Linked DNA regions of Nothobranchius furzeri. The main gene of each other region encodes a partner of the protein of the gene in region 2 in a complex. Links are inferred from orthologs where the notes say so. Each region holds a gene or a part of one and is shown on either strand. Other genes may lie near its edges. The genes, in order: lin7c, peripheral plasma membrane protein CASK, dlg1b, lin7a and lin7b.

Region 1 (4,183 bases), on a different chromosome or scaffold from region 2:
GATTTCCGGAGAAACACTTCATTTTACTTCCTCCTCTCCAACCTGAAGGTAAGTGCGACTAACGAGGACGCTGCAACTTTCTGAGATCTGCCGAACGAAGAAAAATAAACTCTGCCTTGATGGACCCACCAGTGACAGCAGTTGGAATTCTGTGAGGTATCTTTGTTTTGCTTTGTTTGAAGCACAATTTAAACTACTTAGACTCAAAGAGAGACGACAAGCATGCAGTAGATCCTTAAATGTGCTGCTGTCGTAAACATCAAACAACGGGCTTCTTTTCAAGGCCACAATGCAGCTGCAGGAAAAAAAACTGCCCTGCTCTTCAAAGAAATTCCACCTTAAGTTGGAGTTGAAGCCGTTTTGCCCTAGTCAAGTACTAACGTATCCTCTGCATAAAAAAATACAATGAATCAAACAGGGAAGCTTGCTCCATAAAGTATGTGCTCCAGTTTCTCTGAACAGAGACCTTGGGCCATTTTCGTTGCACTCTGCAAGCAAGAAGACGTCTAATTATAGATTTAATGTGAGCATCAAAAGAGCTTAGAGACAATACATGAATACTGTGGCATTTATTTGACCCAGGTTTGTCCCTGATGAATGAAAACAAGCAAATCAGAGCATCTGTTGTCCAATAAAGGAAATTACTGATGCAGCACAGTGTTGGAGATCCAGTCGTACGTCACAGCAGGGTTCCGTTTTTCACCACCAGCTTTTCAAGGTAAATTGTTTGTGTTTCATCACCAGCTGGGGTGGGGTCAGAAATGAATCATCCTGCAAAGTTTCAGCCCACAGAGAGCAGCTGTTTTCTGCTGATTTATGAACCAGAGCCTCTAGAAGAGCTGCAGCAAACCAGAGGAGGGCACTAAAGAGGCTGCTCCTCCCATCAGCTTTCCTGGATACCATCCAGAACATTCATTCAAGCTTCCTAACAAGGTTCCTGGTGTCCAGACACTGACAGGGTGCAATCTGATGAAGACTGGAAAAACTGAGTTTGATGAGCTGAAATTATTATTTGCTATTAAGAAAGTGAAAAATATCAATAAAAATGTTGCTTTGGTTACTCATCATCATCTCATTCATATTTCTATAAAGCTAAATCAAACCTAGAAACCTAATCTTGAACTAAAAGTATTCAGAATGACACTAAACTTCTAAAATGAAGTTTTCTGTTCCAGATTTAGTTACAGAAGTAACTGCTACAAAATTTGTGATTTTGTTGCTGCGTCTGATCTCTTAAAATTTCACATCAATACAAATAAACAAGATAAGAAATACGCAGAATTCAATCTGTCATTTATAATTACCTAAAAATGTCAACAGAATGCTTTGTCCACCGAGTAATCAGCTTTACTAGGGTCCCTGAACGCACCATGACACTGGCAGCTAGCCTAGCCGAGCTAACTTAGCTAATCTGATTTATCGTGCCAGTTAAGCGTACGAAACGGTCGGCTGGATTTACGAATTTAGTTTTTTTTTTTTTTTTTTTGTATATTTCTTGTATCGCAGTATCTATTTAATACCAGATAGCCTCTCATTTCGAGAATGGCATCTCTGGGGGAACCTGTGCGACTGGAAAGAGGTAATGTTAATTAGCTAGCTAGCTTTATTTGTTGTGAACGAGAGACGTTTACCCAGTTTAGCTCTAGTTGTTTGAATCAAACTGGGAGTTGTTTTTTGGTACATATTTTGACATTTGCTTGTCATAAATGTATATATCTGATATTGCCCGTAGAGCTGCGTTTTACTTGACCAAGCTAAACGAAGCATACCTTAGCGGTATTTGTTTAATTCGCTCACTAGCTAAGTAGCTAATAACAGCAGCGATTGACCAGCCCAGTCAGTATGTTGGGAAATAAATGCGAGGTATAATATTGTCATTAAAGCAGTAAAGGCACGTTTTGCTTCTCAGAAATTACACGTCGAACATGACGCAAATTGCATTTGTTAAAGTGAAATAAGCTGTAATTGTCACATCTGTGTAAAAACAAGTGAAAGTATCAGTCCGACTTTCATTGTGAGCCAGCTCTGGTCACAAACATCAAAGAAAAACTAAGAAATCTTTAATCGGAGCTTGTTTACTGAGTGCTTTTTGAAATCGATTTTAAATATATTTCTGAATTGAACTGGGAGCTCATGAAGAGATATTTGTAATGCAAACTTTATTTCTGCCAGTATCCTGCTACATATCTTAATTTTTTGATATTTTGAAAAATTGCAGGTTGTTTTTAATCACTTAGAAACCGTTGAAAGTAGGTGATGTGTATTTTAGCCTTAAATGTACTCGTCTCTAGTGGCTTTAAAAGTGTTCAAATGATCAAATCTGTTGTGGGAACTCGTTTCTCTTCCATTTATGCCGATTATCACTTGTTAGTCGCTTTGGACAAAAGCGTCTGCTAAATACATAAACAAACATTTAGTTAATAAATGTCAGGAATCTGATCATTTAACATCGGTCTGTGCCGCTCAATCGAGATGACTTTAAATGTGCATTATGTAGAAATTAAGTAAAAATGACATCCTTTGGTAAAATTTGGTTACGTCAACCACATTAAAAAACTCTGGAGCTTTTTGCCGGCCGTCGTCAAATTACAGTTGTCTGCGCTGCAGTGTTAGCTCGCAGGAGACACGACAACCCAACTCACTGATGGTAAACAATAACTATGTCCCTCCTTCCTTTGTTTTGAAAAAAGAAAAAAACTGATAATCCCTGCAGCCAGCTGGAAATGAAATATGTTTCAGTAGAACTTTCCTCGCAAAATGACCAAAACATGACTCATTTGGGATTTTCTCGCTGTAAAATTCTCACTATATTTCCACATACTGCACCTTTAATAATACATAATGAGTGTGATTGATAAACAAGTTTTGGCCTTCCTGTGCAGTAGGGGGTGCTGTTTATATTTTACAGTCATTTATTTCACATGTAATTTTTTACTGGTTGATATAAAAACCCTCTGAACTATTTAAAATTTTCTTAAAAATTTTTACCCAGCAGATGTTCTCTTTTTTTATTTTTCAACACCATTCAGGATTTTGAATCTGCTTCATTTCACTTATGCAGATCACTTCTTTCAGAACAAACCCAATGGAAGTCTTAGAATATTTAAAGACATGTCCAGTAAAAGACAAGAATATAAATCAAATAGTCCTTTTACGTAGATTTATCGAGCACCTTTTCTGCTTTTACTTTTAAGACTTGAGTGCTGGCATCAATACAGGCAAATTTAATGCTCATTTTAATCTTTTATAGTGGTTTGTTTTGGACTGTGTGTAAGCTGTGATGGCATTATGCTCTCTTTGATAGATATCAATCGTGCAATTGAGCTGCTTGATAAGCTGCAGAGAACAGGGGAAGTGCCTCCGCAGAAGCTGCAGGCGCTGCAGCGAGTCCTACAGAGTGAATTCTGTAACGCTGTCAGAGAGGTGAGACTCTTCATTCCAACTCTAAACTCCACAGATTTTTCTTCCTCCTTGTTATAAAGTTCTGTTCGTTTGGTGCTTTTTCCCCCTCAGGTTTATGAGCATGTGTATGAAACGGTAGACATCAACAGCAGTCCTGAGGTCAGAGCCAACGCCACAGCTAAAGTAAAGCTCATACACAAGAAATCTCCTCCGTCTCAAAACTACTTTATGCATCAATTGTTGTACATTTTTAAAGAGTTTGTTTTATTTTCAAAGGCTACTGTGGCAGCTTTTGCAGCAAGTGAAGGACACTCCCATCCTCGTGTTGTGGAACTGCCCAAGACAGAAGAAGGTCTGGGTTTCAATATAATGGGCGGAAAGGAGCAAAACTCGCCTATTTACATCTCGCGGATCATCCCAGGAGGCATCGCTGACCGACATGGAGGCCTGAAAAGAGGCGACCAGCTTCTCTCTGTTAATGGGGTGGTACGTGCAGCTCAGAGAATCATTATTAGGTCAAGAATTGTAAATTTGAATCTTAATATGAAGCACGTATCAGGTTTTAGAGCATGTTGCTTTTTTGGGGAGGGATAATCCATGCATCTTCAGAAATTTCTGCATACAGAAAAGCCCAAACGACTGACTTTTAGTGTTAGAAGTTTTTTTAATATTCTGGTTTTTAAAGGGCTACGTGTTCATAATCCTGTGATCACTCATAAGCAGGTATAAAGTCTGAGTCCGATTACATCTCCATTAGTTAGCTTGATGAGGAGGACGAGGA
Region 2 (4,160 bases):
TCTATCGACAGGGTTAGTCACACTATGTGCTAAAATGTAGTTCGATGATAGCATTCTCACATAATTCCCATCCTCCCAGTGAAATATTAGATACGGTGTTGTAGTGGCTCCAGATTGTTAATTGTAATGGACTAATATGACTATGTTTTGTCATAAAACGTTGAGATTTTCCTTCATAGTTTCACACTTTCTTGGTTAAATCTAAATGTCACATGCATGCAGATCCTAGCCCGGCCTCCAGAGGGCGTTTTCAATCAAACTCCACTCTGTCCGCCCACACCTGAGGAAATCCCACCTGTATCTCAGTTAGAAAACCTTTTGCATTAAAATCAGCCATAAACTCCACAGGGCTTAATGCTTTTTTCTTTATTTTTTATGACCATCAAACCAGAAAATGCTTCAGATTTGTTAGAAACAGAAGAAAGAAAATCCACTGAATATAGAAATTGTAACGACACATGTATCGAGCCTATTATTCCTAATTATCAAAATTCTAAATGCATTTATGACTGTTGTAAGGGATACACTGCAGAAGTTACCGATGTCATTCGTGCTCGTGCCTGTGTAACGTGTTTTCATTCACAGCAGGTAATCGGTGTGTAATAAATGAGTTATTAATGACATAAAACATTATTCAAAGCGGAATAAAATGATGGATCTGAGCGGGGAAAGGCTGACGTAAGGTGAGACTTGTCTGCTCGACGCCTGCGCAGGGATCCAGTGGATAGATCCTTTAAAAGAGATTAGTAAGAAACTGCGCCTGAATCCTACCCTCGTCCCACGCCATCTTGGCTCGAGCGTCGCTCCGATTCCAACCCGTGCTTGCGCTCCGTTCGGCGGCCATTTTGGATCTGCTCGGATCCAGTTTCCTGGACGGCGGAGGGAGGAGCCAGGCATTTCTGGAAGTCGGAGAAAACAGGCAGCAGCCAGCAGCATCTGAGCCAGCGTAAGAACTGGAGCAACGGTGGACGAAAGGGTGTGCTGGCTTTACCGAATGACGATATAATTCCATCCTCTTCAAGCACAGAGTGGTATACGCGAGGGCAGAGCGGCCGTGGACATGAAGGTGGAGGTTTTTGATCTGGGCTCGGGAAGCTGAAGCACATACCGCAGCCCCGGACACATTTCGGTTGGGAATAAGCCATCTGTGATACTGGGTGTGCACGTCGCAGTGGCGGTGCTAGACGACCGGTGATCCCGTCGACAGCTAGCTTATTTTTTATTTAAGCTCACCGCCTTTAGCTCGGCCAGCTAGCCTAATCCCGGGCGAAGAGCGCGTCTCGGTCGGGCACTGTAAGCGGATGCTACCGTGGGAGATCCGAACCAGGCAAATTCAACCCGAGGCATGTAAAGAGAGGGGTGTTTCTTCGCCAACGAGCTAATGTGGCTAGCCGGCTAATTCGCTGTCCTCAGTGGCTGCAGTTTCACTCTTTACTGACATTCTCGTGGAGGTTTGAATCGCACAGAGCTCGTGTCGTCGGTCTCAATTAAAGAAGAATAACCAAAACAAATAAAACCCCACACGGTGTCGGTGATTACTTGAAACCCCGAGTGGGAGGGATTTCTTCTGGAGAGCATCCTCGTTTACCTGGATGACCATGGCGGACGACGACGTGCTGTTCGAGGATGTCTACGAGTTGTGCGAGGTGATCGGCAAGTAAGTATGCACAACTGGACTCCACATCCCCACATTTAGCTTCAATCAGCGTAATTTGGTCATGTGCAGGCAGGTTTATGGAGGGGGAAAGTCCAGTGAGTGGGTGAGACGGGTTAGTGTGTGCCATCTTGATGTCCACGGGGGCTTCAAGGCCCAGAGAGGTCCAGGAAAGGAAGTCTGGAGGCACAGCTGGATCAGCAGTCCAGTTCTTTGTCCATTAGACCTGAGAAATGTGGCTGTCATCTTCTGTAGTCTGCTGCGACTTATTTCTTAGGTTAGATTCAATCAGAAATCAAAGGTAAATAATAAAGAAGGGTTGTGTGACAGACTATGTACAAGAGATGTTAAATTCATGCTTTTTATGACATTTGGAGTTTAAAATGTTTGATATTTGCATCAGATTTTCCACAATTTGCAATTAAAGGTGCAGTGATTTGAAGCTTTTCCCCCCCAACATTTTGACAATCCTTTCTCGTGAAGCTTGTAAAAAATCCAGTGATCAGGTCCCCCCCAAGGATTCTTCATATTGTTGGGTGATCAGTTTTGAAAAAAGATTGTCGACTGCACGCCTCACAAATTTAACCAAAATAAAAAAAAATGCACTGAATTCAAAATTATATACCAGCTTTTGGCACTGATCAGGTGGCATATAATACTACAATTACTCGACATTATCGTCCAATACTGACATAAAAATGCTGTTCTCATTCAAAATGTCAAAATATGACAAATGGCCTAGCTTGAATTGAAGTAGTTGTGATATTTTGCACAGATGTTTAAAAAGTTTGGTCATGCACCAATAAGGATCTAAAGTGATTGGACCCCTACAAGTGTATATTGGCACTGGAAATTATGAGTTAGACTAAACTGGTTGATCGGATAATGGTAACAAGTGAAAACTTTAGAAGCCTTTTGGTCTAAACTATCTTATACCAGAGAATCAGAGGCTCTCAGAAGAATAAATAAAAGGAAATGTAAAGTAAATTACACAATGAAGTCAAAATTGCTGTGATTTTTGTGGCTAAAAACTAAAACTAGATTCTAACCAGCACTGGTTAAGACCTACATACACAATACCTTGTGCACATGGATTCTTGCAACCGAACTAAATTGGGTTTTATTCAAAATAACTTTATTTTAGTGCATGACTTGTACATATATTACATTTATTATTAGTAGTATTATTTTACTTGCCATATGTTTAGGCTGCAGCTTTACTTTTACTATTGAAGAAGAGTCATACGTTGTTTTGAGGCGTTTGTTATATGTTGGAGACTCTTTGTGAAAAATTGAAGGAAGTGGAGTTACTTCTGTGGATTCAAGACTTTCTTTTTGTATTCCCTCTTTTAGAGTAGCCTACCTTTACCGTTTTTGAACATCTCGACCTTAATCTTGAAATATTTATTCCTTATCTTTATCTGCTGAGGGGCACTTGTTAGGTTTAACACAGAGACATGAACATTGCTGCACAGTAAAATGCTCCTTTTTTAGGGAGTCCTGGGTGGGATGTAACAGTTAAACACAGTTAGTGTGACTGAAAGACTGTAGTAGGGTAGCTTTTCCTGTTGATGCTACCCAAAGCACTTCTGGGGTATTTCTAGTAACCAATAAAAAGCACATAAAGTGGAGTCAACCCCAGGAGCCAGGTAGCAATCTGAAACCAGTAAACACAATATGGCGGCCACGCCCTCTGGTATTTGAACCAAGTACCGGGATGAACAGCAGTTTGTCTCTCATTGACTCAGACACGGTTCTGGCCTTGTTAAAGGTGTGGTTCACTAAAAAACATTAATTATTATTTCTGATTATAATCAGTCACTGAGATTTTCATGCAGGCTGAACATGAAAATAGTCTCCTACACCTATGTCCTGCATTAGCTTCTGATCGAAAATAGACGGTGAAACTCTAGGATTAGAAAGCCCTGACATCTACGTCACACTGTCACTTATCGTTCACGGACTCCCCCATCTCGACTCACGACGGAGAAGGCTGTTGTTGGTTTAGCGTCCAGGAAACAGCAGAGAACGTCTCTGCTAGTAGAAGCTAACCTTTAGCATTAGCAACTCCACCACACGCCAGAACTCCTTCATACTTGTGTTCTTTGTGGAGGCAACACATCAGCATAGCAGAAGAAATGGAGTGAGTGGTAGAATCACATTGCTGTTAGCCAGTCAGAGGCAAGGAATCCAGAATAAGGAAGTAAGAGTCCAATCCTGTCATCTGAAGCTCTGCTCTGATGTGGCATTTTCTAGTTTCTCAAACAGACGCACCAGATCTTTTTTCCCCAGAGTACGACTTCCAAGGCATTCGATCCTACTAGAGACCACTGCAAATGTTTTGATTAAACGAATGATCCACACCTTTAATAAGTAAGTTTATTTGTCACTGAACAAAGAGTGAAACAAAGTCATAAGCAGCAACACTGTTGGGTTATGCTAAAAAATAAAAAACAATAATAGAAGGAAATATAAACACATATTCCAAAAACGTTAAGAACTTCGA
Region 3 (3,512 bases), on a different chromosome or scaffold from region 2:
TGTTTCTGTCTGAACCACCGGTACCGACCCATTTCTCCTGTCCGATCAGATCCTGAGGACCTCACAGGAGAACTTGGGAGTCGGTTCTGTTAGAGCAGCTTCAGTTCTGCTTTATCTAAAATTCTAGTTTTATCCATTTCTACTTTAACTCTTTGTGCATCTACTGGACCTTCAGAACCGGGACATGAGAGAAACACGCCTGAGTCCAGAATGTTCCGACCAGTTCCAGCAGGACCGATCTGTTCTTACGCCTTTAAGCGCCTCGTGACTTTTATCTTGAGAGGCGCTATAGAAAAGCTCTTTCTTCTTCTTCGTCATCTTACCTCGATGCTGGTGCTAAGGCTGGGCAGAGTCTCCGAGGTCACCGTTGTGCTCTGAAGACTCGGGAAGTCCCACAGGTGGACAGGCGCCATGGGGTCCGCCCCCTTGGAAGACTCCGCCCATCTCTGACTGTCCAATAAGGTCACTTCGTAAAATTCCTGGATATCTGGGAGGACAGAGCATGGGACAGGGACAGGGACATGCTTTAATCAGACCATAAACTAAAAGTTTGAAAGCTGCAGAAACTCGTCTGGAATCCATAAACCTGATGATTAGGGAAGTCCCGTTCTGATATCGATATCGGCCCAAAAACAATCAGATTATATCGGGCGGCATCAAAACCTCCCATATAAATACAGTTATTGCAACAAAGGTAAAGAAAAAAGTGTCACTTTTTTCATACTTACTGTAATCGGCTCTTGTTCTCCGAATGAGTAAAATCACTGTGGCATTCCTGCTGGTATCGGTCAGTACTGAAGGTTGCCATATCGGTGTTGTGTCGGAAGTGAAAAGTTGTATTGGGACATCACTACTGATAACTAATCTGATCAGAACTGGACCGGTACCGATTCACATACTGCACATACAAGACCTCAGAACTGGGTCAGCACCAGAACCACAGGAGTCTTCTTCAGCTCCTGATCAACATTTCATAAAGATTAAAAAAGAAAAAGCAGCATCTCTTTTCTCTGCTGACCCGACCCGTACCGACCCAGATGATGGGAACCAGAGGATTACATTATCAGAACGGGAATTATTTAGGAATAAAAGCAGCTGCTGGGAACTCAAACACATTAATCGGGATTGGGATGAGGGAATCTGAACATATTCATCTGAAACTTCAGATTTAGACTCTACAGCAACGGTTTCTACTTCCTGTAGTGCTTTAAGAATAAAATTGTTTCTATTCACTTAAATTTAACCATTCAAAGTTGATTCATTTGCTTGGAAGTAGGGTTGTCACGGTAACCGGTGTAGCGGTAAACCCCAATAAAAAAATTGACAATAATAATAACCGTCTTGTTTTAAAAAAAAAATATTATCTCGGTGGATTACCGTGGCTGTGGTGTAGGCGCGGTGACCCTTACCAGCCACTGTATCATCTGCTGAAGTTGCAGGCGGCACATGCGCACTTTGTTGTTTAAAATCCAAACTTTCTTGAAGCTAAAGCTGAAATAATGGCCAAAGGAGGAGACGGCAGCGCTCAGGACATTTATTATCCCTCAAAGAAGACAAAGTGTGAAGTGTGGGCATTTTTTTGGGATATTTGAAGAATGCCGAGGGACATTTGATAGAAGACGGCTATCCTGTTTGCAGCACGTGCAGAAAAAGTTTCTGTGAAAGGCAGCAACGCCTCATATCTCATGACACATCTGCGTGACCATCACCCACAACTCTACAGTCAACGCAAGGCAAGCTAACGTTAGCGTTTTAGCTAAAATGTGTGATCCGAGGATTTGGGTGGAGGGAGAATGCAACGAGTCGCTAAAGCAGCCTGCATAAAAACCGTGTTGCGGACACCCCCATGTTGAAATGACGCTATGCATTACGGGGCTCCCAGGGGCAGATAAGAGTTGGTCTCTCTCCGAGAATAATTATGAATTTAACAATGATTACTGCCTGATGACATTTTCCCACATCTGCAAAGCTCACTGGAAGGACACAAACCGAAGACAATATTTTCCTGATATAGGGTTTATTACTCAAGTAAGGGTAAAAAAGTATCTGATTAGAAGGCTACTTGAGTACTGAGTATCATTTGGTCTAATATTTTTAAAATGATGACATCAAGCAGACAAAAAATAAGAAGTTATGGGCAAATATTGGTGTTTTAAAGACTAAAGGGAAAAAATGTAAACAAATAAACAACATAATTACAAAATAACACGTTTTAGGCAAAATTTTGACACAAACTGAGGACAATATTTTCCTGATATACAGGGTTTATTTAATTGTCTGAAAATGTAGCACGTTTAAAAAAATACGGAAAACCGTGATATTTTGGTCACAATAACCGTGAGGTTAAATTTTCACACCGTGACAACCCTAATTGGAAGTGAAATCGTTATGAGCCAATTATCTTTAAACCAGAAGTTCCTGTTTGTGGGATTTTGGAGGTAAATTCAGGGAGAATTTGAATCCCATGATTCCCGTAATTCCCTTCCCTTCTGTGGGAGATAATTAGTCTTTCCAGGGGGATATTTTAGCACCGATGCCTTCTTTATTTTTGGACTCTGTTCAGAGCTTCCAGAGAAGGAACGTCTAAAATAACCATGGAAGCAGGAGCTGACCGCCAGCAGGCACAGATGTTTCCTCTCAGACCGCTGGCCTTTAAAGCTGCTCCAGGCTCGGTTTTCCAGCCAGGCTCCAAGCAGAACCCGCTCCTTCACCCTCAAACATTTAGGCTACGGAATCTTCTCCAGCCTTCTGGTTCCTCCATCCCAGAATTCCAGACATGAAAAACGCTCCGAACGGTTTTATTCCTCCAGCCTGATCGGATCGACGGGATTCAAATCTGGTGGTCGCAAGATTAAGGTCATAGGTCACAGGGATTTATTCTGGGAATCATAAAAAGTCTAAAAACTTTTCAAGGAAACAGAAGCAGCAACGAGCAGATGAAGGGAACGTCGGAACACGCGAGGACCATCAGCTATGGGTCAGAACCAGAACTCGGGTTTCATGTCGCTTATAGTTCCTGAGGAAGAGGATTTTCATCGGAAGAGGTTGGAGGAGTCGAGGAACGCTGAGATGTTTCTGCAGAAGCAACACGAGCTCCAAGCCCGGAACCGTCCCTACGGGTTCTACGGTTCTAATGGATCATTTTATTAGAAAAGAGTCAGACTCATTCCTGTTGATCTTCAGACAAGATCTGAACCAGAACCTTCAATAATCACAGACCCGACCCAGTTCTAGCAGAGCAGACCCATCTGAGGAGCAGAACCAGGTGTGATGATTTTAATTCCAAATAAAGGTCCAAAGCCCGAGATTTGTCCTAACCCGGCAGCACCAGAGACACGGATCCACGTGGAAAACACTCCGCCTACAAGTCAACGGGCTTCAGACAGGCGGTTCAACTCCCACCAGATCAGAACCGACTCCAGAACCCAGAAAACATCAGAATCTCTCACTAACGGTTCGCTTTTAGTCTGAATGAAAAACCGTTAAAACGACACAAAGGACTGGCTGCTGGG
Region 4 (3,512 bases), on a different chromosome or scaffold from region 2:
GAGGTGGTTTGGGCATCTGGACAGGATGCCTCCTGGACGCCTCCCTGGGGAGGTGTTTCGGGCATGTCCTGCCGGCAGGAGGCCCCCGGGTCGACCCAGGACACGTTGGAGAGGTTACGTCTCCAATCTGGTCCGGGAACGCCTTGGGGTCCTGCCGGAGGAGCTGGTGGAGGTGGCCGGGGAGAGGACGGTCTGGAGCTCCCTAGTTGGGATGCTGCCCCCGCGACCCGGACCCGGATAAGAGGAGGAAGATGACGATGTGCATTCCACCGCAGCTTTGCATTTAAGCTGCAAGATGTAATATTTGTCTTTTTGATAGAACCATGAAAACTTTTTACAACTGTTTCCATTTCTTGACTGCAACAAAAACACAGAGATGATAAAGTACTTCGACAGGGTGACTGAGAAAAAAATCATCACAACCTGGGGCACAGTGACTGCGTGGGAGCAGAGAGATGATAAGACTTGCAGGATGAAGGGTTGGTGTAGAAAGGTCACGGACGAGGAGGACTCATCTGACTCACCTCTCTGATTGCTGTGCAGAACTCGCTCTGCAGCACCTTCTTCAGGGACTGCAGCTTGTGCCCAGGAACTTCCCCCGACTCCTGCAGCTTCTCCAGCAGCTCGATAGCCCGCGCAACATCTGGCAGGAGGAGGGAGGGAGAGAGACCATTGGTATGAGTGAATGTGCATGCGGGAGAAAAAAATTCAATTACATTAACAGCACGGCAATGACAAAGGCGCTAGCGCAAATCAATGGGTGCTTTAATGGAAATAGACTTATTCAAGGCCAGCAGCTGCAGGGATGATGGAGTGGGAATGCAATCCTGGAATCATTTGCATCGACTTCAGTCGGCACATAGAAACGGGGGGGGGGGGGGGGGGGGGGGGGGTCCAGGATTTAAGCAAATATTTTCCTGAAACTACTACAAAGAAGGCGAAGCTGCTGCAACTTAAATAGTTTTCTGCTCTGTATTATTCCTACAGATCTGAGCCGTAAATACAAACTTTTATGAGTTCAAGGTGAACTTAGTTTTTATGTGACTTTGAGTTGGGGACATATTCTGATTCCCTGCAATACCCTACAAGACACAATATTTTCCATTTACAGACACATAAGTCATGGGATTTTTTTTTAGCTGAGTAAAAAACTGCAATATTTGATCATTACGTTATTATTTAAAAGTCTAGCACACCTTGAATGAATCTCCCCATGAGTCTTAAACACCAACGTTTCATATTTTTATAAGAACATTGTAAACAGTCCCATGATTGTAGTATTGCATGTGTTGATGATGACTCTTAGCTATTAGAGTCAAAACATGAACTTTAAATGGTCATCCACACTCCTCCCGTCTAGATTACTGTAACACACTTTTCACATGTTTTAACAAAAAAAACCTTGACCGCCTTCAGTTGGTCCAGAACTCTGCAGCGAGGCTCCTAACTGGAGCAAACAGAAGAGCACACATCACTCCTATTCTGATGTCTCTGCACTGGTTACCCGTTAACTTTAGAGTTCATTTTAGAGTTCTGACTAGAACTTTCAATGCTCTACAAGGTCAGGCTCCTCCCTATGTTACTGAACTGTTAAAGCCTTATGTTCCAACCCGAGCCCTCAGGTCCACACACCAGAACCTTCTAGAAGTTCCAGAGACCAGATATGTCACGTTTTGGAGGGATGGTAGAACCCAAATTGCAGAAACCCAGGATGACACGAGGCAGGAGATGATTAAAGTAAAATCCTTTATTTTTGGAAGGGTGAACACAATAAATCCAGGCAGCGAGTTAAAGTCCAAAAACTCCAAGGCTGGAGAAATAAAGCTAACCAAGAGCACGAGCAAACACAGACAGAATCTATATATATATATATATATATATATATATATATATATATATATATATATATATATATATATATATATATATATATATACAACAATGAACCGACACCAGACACAGACAAGACAGAGCTTATATACACAGGGAGGTGATTAGGGAAAATGGCGGCAGGTGTGTGAAGTGAGGGCTGGAGGGAAGACAGGTGAATCTAATAACCAACATGGGCAAACAGAAACAGAGGAGGGCCAAATAACCTAAAACACAAAACTAAACCAAGAGGCTGCGGGAAGGACTAACACACACACACACCATCAGAACTACACACACAGAGCTGGGGACAAAGAAGCTGGGGACTACAAGGACACAGAATGTAAATGAGACCAAGACCTGGGAGGAATAGACTTAAAGGACTACCAACATAAGACACATAACGGACGCAGACAAAAGACACATGAGGGTGCCAGAGGACAACAAAAGGGGAATCTAAAGAGGGATGGAGGACATAAGGAGACACATGGGGAAGTCACAGACGCAGACATGACAAGATATAGAAGTCGAGGTGATCGCTCCTTCCAGACTGTTGCACCCCGACTCTGGAATGATCTTCCTTTATCCTTACACAGCACTGACAGTCTGGACACTTTTAAAAAAACAGCTAAAGACCATTTTATTTAAAGCTGCTTTTGACTAAACCTTTTATTTTCTTATTTTTAACTCAAAATTTTCATCTTTCATCCGTTTATGAAAAATTTATAATTTTGTGACTTTATTTTTTCTGACGTTAATCTGATTCTGTTTTGAGAGCATTTTGATGTTATGATGTTAATCTGTTTATGATTTTGTGACTTTGTTTTCTTTTGTTTTGATCCATGTGAAGCACTTTGTGATTCTATGTCTGTGATGAGTGCTGTAGAAATAAAATTTACTTATTTACTATTAGAACACCAGATTTTAGCTCAAAATCTGTAAAACCGATCGAGTTTGTACAACTTTTACACTTCTTGACTGGATCACACTGACTCCAGAAGTTGTAAATGCACATCCAATAATTATATTAAAGGAGCCAGATTGCATTATATAAAATATTACCATTGGCACCATTGAGATGTCATTTTATTTTAAACATGAGTTACTTTTTTCAGCCTGAATTTATACCAGGAAATGAAATGATTTGATTCAGTGAAGCTCCGCCCACATCCGCTCAGACAAAACATGCCTACAACAGCATCGCAGGCAAGCCAGTTGCTGTATTGTGTTTGATAATCTAAAGCATCTGCCTTTCGTGTTGTTTTTCCGTGTCCCGATGCCAGTTCAACTCCCAGTGTCGGCAGTAATTTATGTAGCCAGCTGAAGCTGAGTTCATGTTTTCATATTTTACTTTTATTGATTCTTTTCTGTAAATTATTTTGTGTTTGTTAAGATCTTTGAATTTGGTCGTTTCCAAGCAGCATTTTATTGATTTACTCTACTGACCTAACATGGAGTCACACTGGCTAAATAAACAAAGAAAGGGGGAGAAAAAAAAACGTATAATTTGAATTGTTTACCAATAAAGGGTTAAAAACACAATACTGGCAAGTGCGGCTAAAGGAGAAGAAAAAAGTTACTGTTGCAACCGGGAGTCAAACTAAAAAACAGCATGCCAGTCTGTCAGTTACTCTAACCACTGA
Region 5 (4,122 bases), on a different chromosome or scaffold from region 2:
GGAACTGAGCGCATGTTGGAGGAAAATGAAGGGGAGGTGGCTGAGGCCACAGAGGAGCGCAAAGAGAGGGACAGGGACAGAGACCGAGACCGAGACAGGAGGCGCAGTCACAGGGACAGAGACCGGCGGAGGGAACGAGACAGAGATAGGGAACACAAGCGGGAGCGTGGGGACAGAGACAGGGGGGAGCGGAGGGAGGAGCGCCACGGGTCCAATCGAGAAGACATGGGTCCTCAAGAGGACATGGGTAATGAGGAGGACAGCGCTCCGCCAAACATGGAGGAATACAGTCAGGATGGAATGATGGAGCAGCAGTCTGCACCGTCAGCTGATGACTATGGATCTGGCGAAAACGGATACAAGATGGAGGCACCAGATGAGTACTAAGCATGAGGTCCCCATCCCACAGGAAGTCCCCCTAAACAAGCCCTCCACTTCCTGTCCCAGGCCTCCAGAACCTCCTAAGGATCCAAACATTTAGTTAGCTTTCCTTTTTCCGCTCGTATGGCAACCATGTTGAGGTCCGCTGATCGCCCTGCTCGTCGGGGGTGGAGCTTAAAGCCGGAGCCAGGTGTGTTTAGAGGTGTTAGAAGCAGACGTGTTGTGGTGGAGCAGCTGAGCCTGTTTTGGTTTTTCATCTTTTTTTTATATCTGCAGGTCATTTTAATAAAGATGTCTTGATTGTGACAGTGGTGATTATTTTAGTACACAGCCTTTTGCCTGAGGTGCTGGTGCAACACACACACACTTTAATCCCTAAACGTTTTCTGAACGTCCTGCTGACCAGGACGACGTTCTGACTCATATTTTTATAAAACACGTTCTCAGTCCTGGTCCTGGAGACCCGGTTTCCAGCATGTTTTAGACCTTTCCCTGCCTTTAATCCACAGAGCTTCGTGTGCTGCCGAACAGGTGTTTGAGCAGAGGAACCAAAACCTGCCGGATACCGGTCCTCCAGAACCAGGATGGAGAACCCACTGTTCAGTTTCTACTGAGTCGAGGTTCTAGTTTTATTTTGACCCAGACCGTAGAGGTTCTGAAGTGGTTTCATCGCCAGAACTACAGATGTGGGTCCTGCGGGGCTGACTGCTGGTCCCGGTTCTGTACTTGCAGCCTCACGTCGGATTAAGTTATCTGCTGCTGATTATTTTATTCTCGGGTTTGGGTTCAGGTTCTGACGTGGACCTGGCCCGTAACGTTTCCTGTTCTAGTTTTAGAGTTCAGGTTTACCCCACCGGTTCCGTCCAGCTGAACGGTCTGGACTGTCTCACCTACGAGGTTGTGATGAGAACCTCCCCAGTGGTTCGGTCCAGAACAGCTCTGACCCGGAGGGGGCTGCTGCTGCTGCGCTTCTCTCAGCCTCTCGGAACCAGCCCGGTCTCATCATGCCCTCATCAGAGCAGCTGTGAGACTCCTGGACCAGAACCTGCCGTGACCATCAGACAAGGACCTCAGGATGATGTCCTCCTACCACCCTAAGGAAGCCGACATGTCGGCTACGACCGAACCGCTCTGCCTGGAAAGAGGTAGGTTTCGGGTCTGCAGCAGAACTGGGTCGGGTTTGCATCCCGGATCCAGAGACTAAACATGTACTGATGTCAAATGTGAGCCGCTCTGGAGCTTCCTGCTTCACGCGGTTCTGTTCGGACTCGGGAGCCTAGCACAGACGGGTTGGGCCTGTCCAGGTTCCGTTTTCAGCTGCATGTTTAATGTCTGAGCGGTTCCGGTAGCCTGTCGGAACCGGACCGGCTCTATATAGCCACCTGCAAAGATGGACCATTATGATCCGGACCGGTACCAACTAGCTTGTTCCGAACCGAGACGTCTCAGGTGTGAGTGGGTAAATATTAGCTCAGTAGTAAAAATGTTACATTTATGTCACGTGACCCTTTCCTAAAGCCATATTTTCATGAGGCTTTTAATTTGAAACTCAGGTTCTGACCGCCGCACAACTGACCTTCTGGGTTGGTTCTGATCATCAGTGTTGGAGCTGACCGGATGTTGGCCTCTCAGGACCAGGACTGGTTTAGGGTCAGCCAGACCAGCCCTGGGTCACCGACTCAGTTTGGTAGTCTAAAAACCCAACAGAACCAAACCTACATATGAGTTTAGTTCAGCAGAACCTAGCTGTGGGTTCCAAAGGGATTGAGACGTTCAGCTGAACCGGGTCCTTGTCGACTTTGGGTTTCTATGAAGTATATCCAGTCCCTCTATGGTTCTGGAGCACTCAGCTCTCCCTGCAGAGATCCAGAGCACAGATCTGACTGCTGTGGTTCTGGTCCAGAGGCACAGCCATGGACCGAGCCAGCATCAAGGCGTAGCCCTGCTCAGCAGAAAGCTGTGTGTCCATGTGGTTCTGTTGGTTGGTGATGGATGGTGCTGGTCATGCTCTTTCAGATCCAGACTGACCATTGGGTGATGGCTAACCGTCTACAGAACCAGAATATCTGAAGAAGGTGGACGGCTACATCACTCCGGACCCAGCAGGAGTAATGGGTGGGGGCTACGGGTGAAGCCCGGTGTAACCCAGGTTTGTCTTTTAGATGTGTGCCGGGTGATCGAGCTGCTGGACCGGCTGCAGCGGACCGGGGAGCTGCCCCCTCCCAAGCTGCAAGCCCTGCAGAGAGTCCTCCAGAGCAAATTCTGCGCCGCCATCAGGGAGGTACGTTACAGGCAGGGGCGTGTCCAGGGAGTGGCCTGGGGTGGCACATGCCACCCTTGGAATCTGATTGGCCACCCCAGGTGCCAACACACTAATTTCTTTAAATAGGCTTTTCATTGTCCACAAAAGGCTTGGGGGTAAAACAAAAAAAGCATAACCATTGGTGCCACCCATGCGCCTCACCTGGGCCACCCCATTTTAAAAGATCTGGACACACCACTGGTTACAGGAAGTGTGTTACAGCCTTTTGTTGTCCGATTTCCGTCAAATCAAGCTGTTCCATCTACAGGCACAGCTCCAACGTTAGAACATCATGAGGTGAGTGGGACCCGTTTGATTCGTAGATGCATCACTCGGAGTGGGATGCTTTTGGTTCTGGCTACAGATGAGGAAAAGACTAATTCTGTCAGAAAGTTAGAATATTGTGAAACTATAGAAACTCCAGGTGACACACCCTACTCAGCTGATGAACTCAGAGTGGGTCATGACGGCTGACTGGACACGTCCACCAGGAGGGCGGTCACAGGTCTTGAAGGATCTGAGGTTTCTCAGCCGTTCCTGTGCTTCCTCCATGAATCGTTGTGTTTAATCACAAACCTTCAGACTGAATCCTGTAAACACAGCTTAGACCTGATGTGACACCTGTTGTCTGTTCTGTTGACCTCCAGGTGTACGAGCAGCTGTACGACACTCTAGACATAGTTGGAGGACCAGAGGTGCGAGCACAAGCAACAGCCAAGGTACTAGAACCTAAGTCCTGGACCCGAGTCCAGATGCAGTCGGCTCTAGTGTGATGACACCTCCAGTTTCCGACAGGAGCTCTTCCTGCTCAGAAGCAGCTTTACCTTGTGAAGTGCCTCTTGTCCCGGTTTGGCGCTACATAAATAAACTGAACTGAAGTGTGAGAACCTCCATCAGAATGCTGCGAGAACTAAGATGTTCTGCAACCATCGATCCGGTTCTGGCACTTTGCTGATCATTGGAGGTTCTTGTTGTTTCAGGCCACCGTGGCAGCCTTTGCAGCCAGCGAGGGTCACGCCCACCCCAGGGTGGTGGAGCTCCCCAAGACTGAAGAGGGGCTGGGCTTTAACATCATGGGGGGGAAAGAGCAGAACTCCCCGATCTACATCTCCAGAGTTATTCCTGGAGGAGTAGCCGATCGCCAAGGAGGGCTGAAGAGAGGAGACCAGCTGCTGTCTGTCAACGGAGTGGTAAGAAGCTCCGGTTCCTTGTGAGGAGGTTCTGCTCCCTAGAAGGTTCAGATAAAAAACAGCATGCCTCCCAGTTTCCTGATGTTTTAGAGGCCGTGTGGGCAGCATGTGGTTCAGATTCATGAGTGATCGTGTTGTTCACTAGCTGTGTGCTTGTGACCATGCAGAGCGTTGAGGCGGAGCAACACGAGAAGGCTGTGGAGCTGCTGAAAGCCGCACAGGGTTCGGTCAAGTTGGTGGTCCGCTACA

What was found.
Region 1: peripheral plasma membrane protein CASK (region 2) and lin7c share a complex: the UniProt entries of both Homo sapiens proteins name them as parts of the brain-specific heterotrimeric complex. The link is inferred for Nothobranchius furzeri from reciprocal best matches to the Homo sapiens genes CASK and LIN7C.
Region 3: the proteins of peripheral plasma membrane protein CASK (region 2) and dlg1b are in contact, whole or in part, in an NMR structure (PDB 1RSO), measured with the Rattus norvegicus proteins. The link is inferred for Nothobranchius furzeri from reciprocal best matches to the Homo sapiens genes CASK and DLG1. Residues at the interface, in XP_038955489.1 of Rattus norvegicus: Gly339, Ala342, Ala343, Arg345, Ala346, Val347, Gln349, Val350, Ser353, Leu354, Glu356, Ile357, Leu360, Thr361, Asp367, Leu368, Phe370, Leu371, Ser373, Val374, Phe375, Asp377, His379, Leu380, Thr382, Leu383, Leu384, Asp385, Leu386, Tyr387; in NP_036920.2 of Rattus norvegicus: Arg4, Asp7, Thr8, Arg10, Ala11, Leu12, Leu14, Leu15, Tyr18, Lys21, Leu22, Glu26, Asp27, Leu30, Ser33, Ile34, Arg36, Val37, Ser39, Ile40, Phe41, Ser43, Leu45, Phe46, Leu49, Ile50, Gln53, Glu57, Val58, Leu60.
Region 4: peripheral plasma membrane protein CASK (region 2) and lin7a share a complex: the UniProt entries of both Homo sapiens proteins name them as parts of the brain-specific heterotrimeric complex. The link is inferred for Nothobranchius furzeri from reciprocal best matches to the Homo sapiens genes CASK and LIN7A.
Region 5: the proteins of peripheral plasma membrane protein CASK (region 2) and lin7b are in contact, whole or in part, in an NMR structure (PDB 1Y74), measured with the Mus musculus proteins. The link is inferred for Nothobranchius furzeri from reciprocal best matches to the Homo sapiens genes CASK and LIN7B. Residues at the interface, in NP_001271432.1 of Mus musculus: Ala405, Arg408, Ala409, Glu411, Val412, Glu415, Ile416, Tyr419, Glu421, Asn422, Asp424, Ala425, Glu427, Leu428, Ile431, Leu432, Gln434, Phe437, Ala439, Leu440, Leu441, Thr443, His444, Val447, Ala448; in NP_035828.1 of Mus musculus: Leu10, Asp13, Val14, Arg16, Ala17, Leu20, Leu21, Arg23, Leu24, Ser27, Glu29, Leu30, Pro31, Pro32, Lys34, Leu35, Ala37, Leu38, Val41, Leu42, Ser44, Phe46, Cys47, Ile50, Arg51, Tyr54.

What each region holds. Positions count from the first base shown.
Region 1 is NC_091749.1:64,462,141-64,466,323, forward strand, and holds the start of lin7c (protein lin-7 homolog C), read left to right. Parts: upstream 1-1,382; 5' UTR 1,383-1,542; coding exon 1,543-1,579; intron 1,580-3,304; coding exon 3,305-3,423; intron 3,424-3,513; coding exon 3,514-3,585; intron 3,586-3,678; coding exon 3,679-3,888; intron 3,889-4,183. UniProt on the Homo sapiens protein: Plays a role in establishing and maintaining the asymmetric distribution of channels and receptors at the plasma membrane of polarized cells.
Region 2 is NC_091754.1:50,548,322-50,552,481, forward strand, and holds the start of peripheral plasma membrane protein CASK, read left to right. Parts: upstream 1-1,360; 5' UTR 1,361-1,592; coding exon 1,593-1,657; intron 1,658-4,160. UniProt on the Homo sapiens protein: Multidomain scaffolding Mg(2+)-independent protein kinase that catalyzes the phosphotransfer from ATP to proteins such as NRXN1, and plays a role in synaptic transmembrane protein anchoring and ion channel trafficking.
Region 3 is NC_091751.1:34,938,298-34,941,809, forward strand, and holds part of dlg1b (disks large homolog 1), read right to left. Parts: intron 488-3,512; coding exon 324-487; intron 1-323. UniProt on the Homo sapiens protein: Essential multidomain scaffolding protein required for normal development. Recruits channels, receptors and signaling molecules to discrete plasma membrane domains in polarized cells.
Region 4 is NC_091741.1:40,999,047-41,002,558, forward strand, and holds part of lin7a (protein lin-7 homolog A), read right to left. Parts: intron 644-3,512; coding exon 525-643; intron 1-524. UniProt on the Homo sapiens protein: Plays a role in establishing and maintaining the asymmetric distribution of channels and receptors at the plasma membrane of polarized cells.
Region 5 is NC_091758.1:13,884,085-13,888,206, forward strand, and holds the start of lin7b (protein lin-7 homolog B), read left to right. Parts: upstream 1-1,312; 5' UTR 1,313-1,456; coding exon 1,457-1,526; intron 1,527-2,543; coding exon 2,544-2,662; intron 2,663-3,330; coding exon 3,331-3,402; intron 3,403-3,663; coding exon 3,664-3,873; intron 3,874-4,040; coding exon 4,041-4,122. Other genes in the region: snrnp70 (U1 small nuclear ribonucleoprotein 70 kDa), read left to right, coding at 1-387. UniProt on the Homo sapiens protein: Plays a role in establishing and maintaining the asymmetric distribution of channels and receptors at the plasma membrane of polarized cells.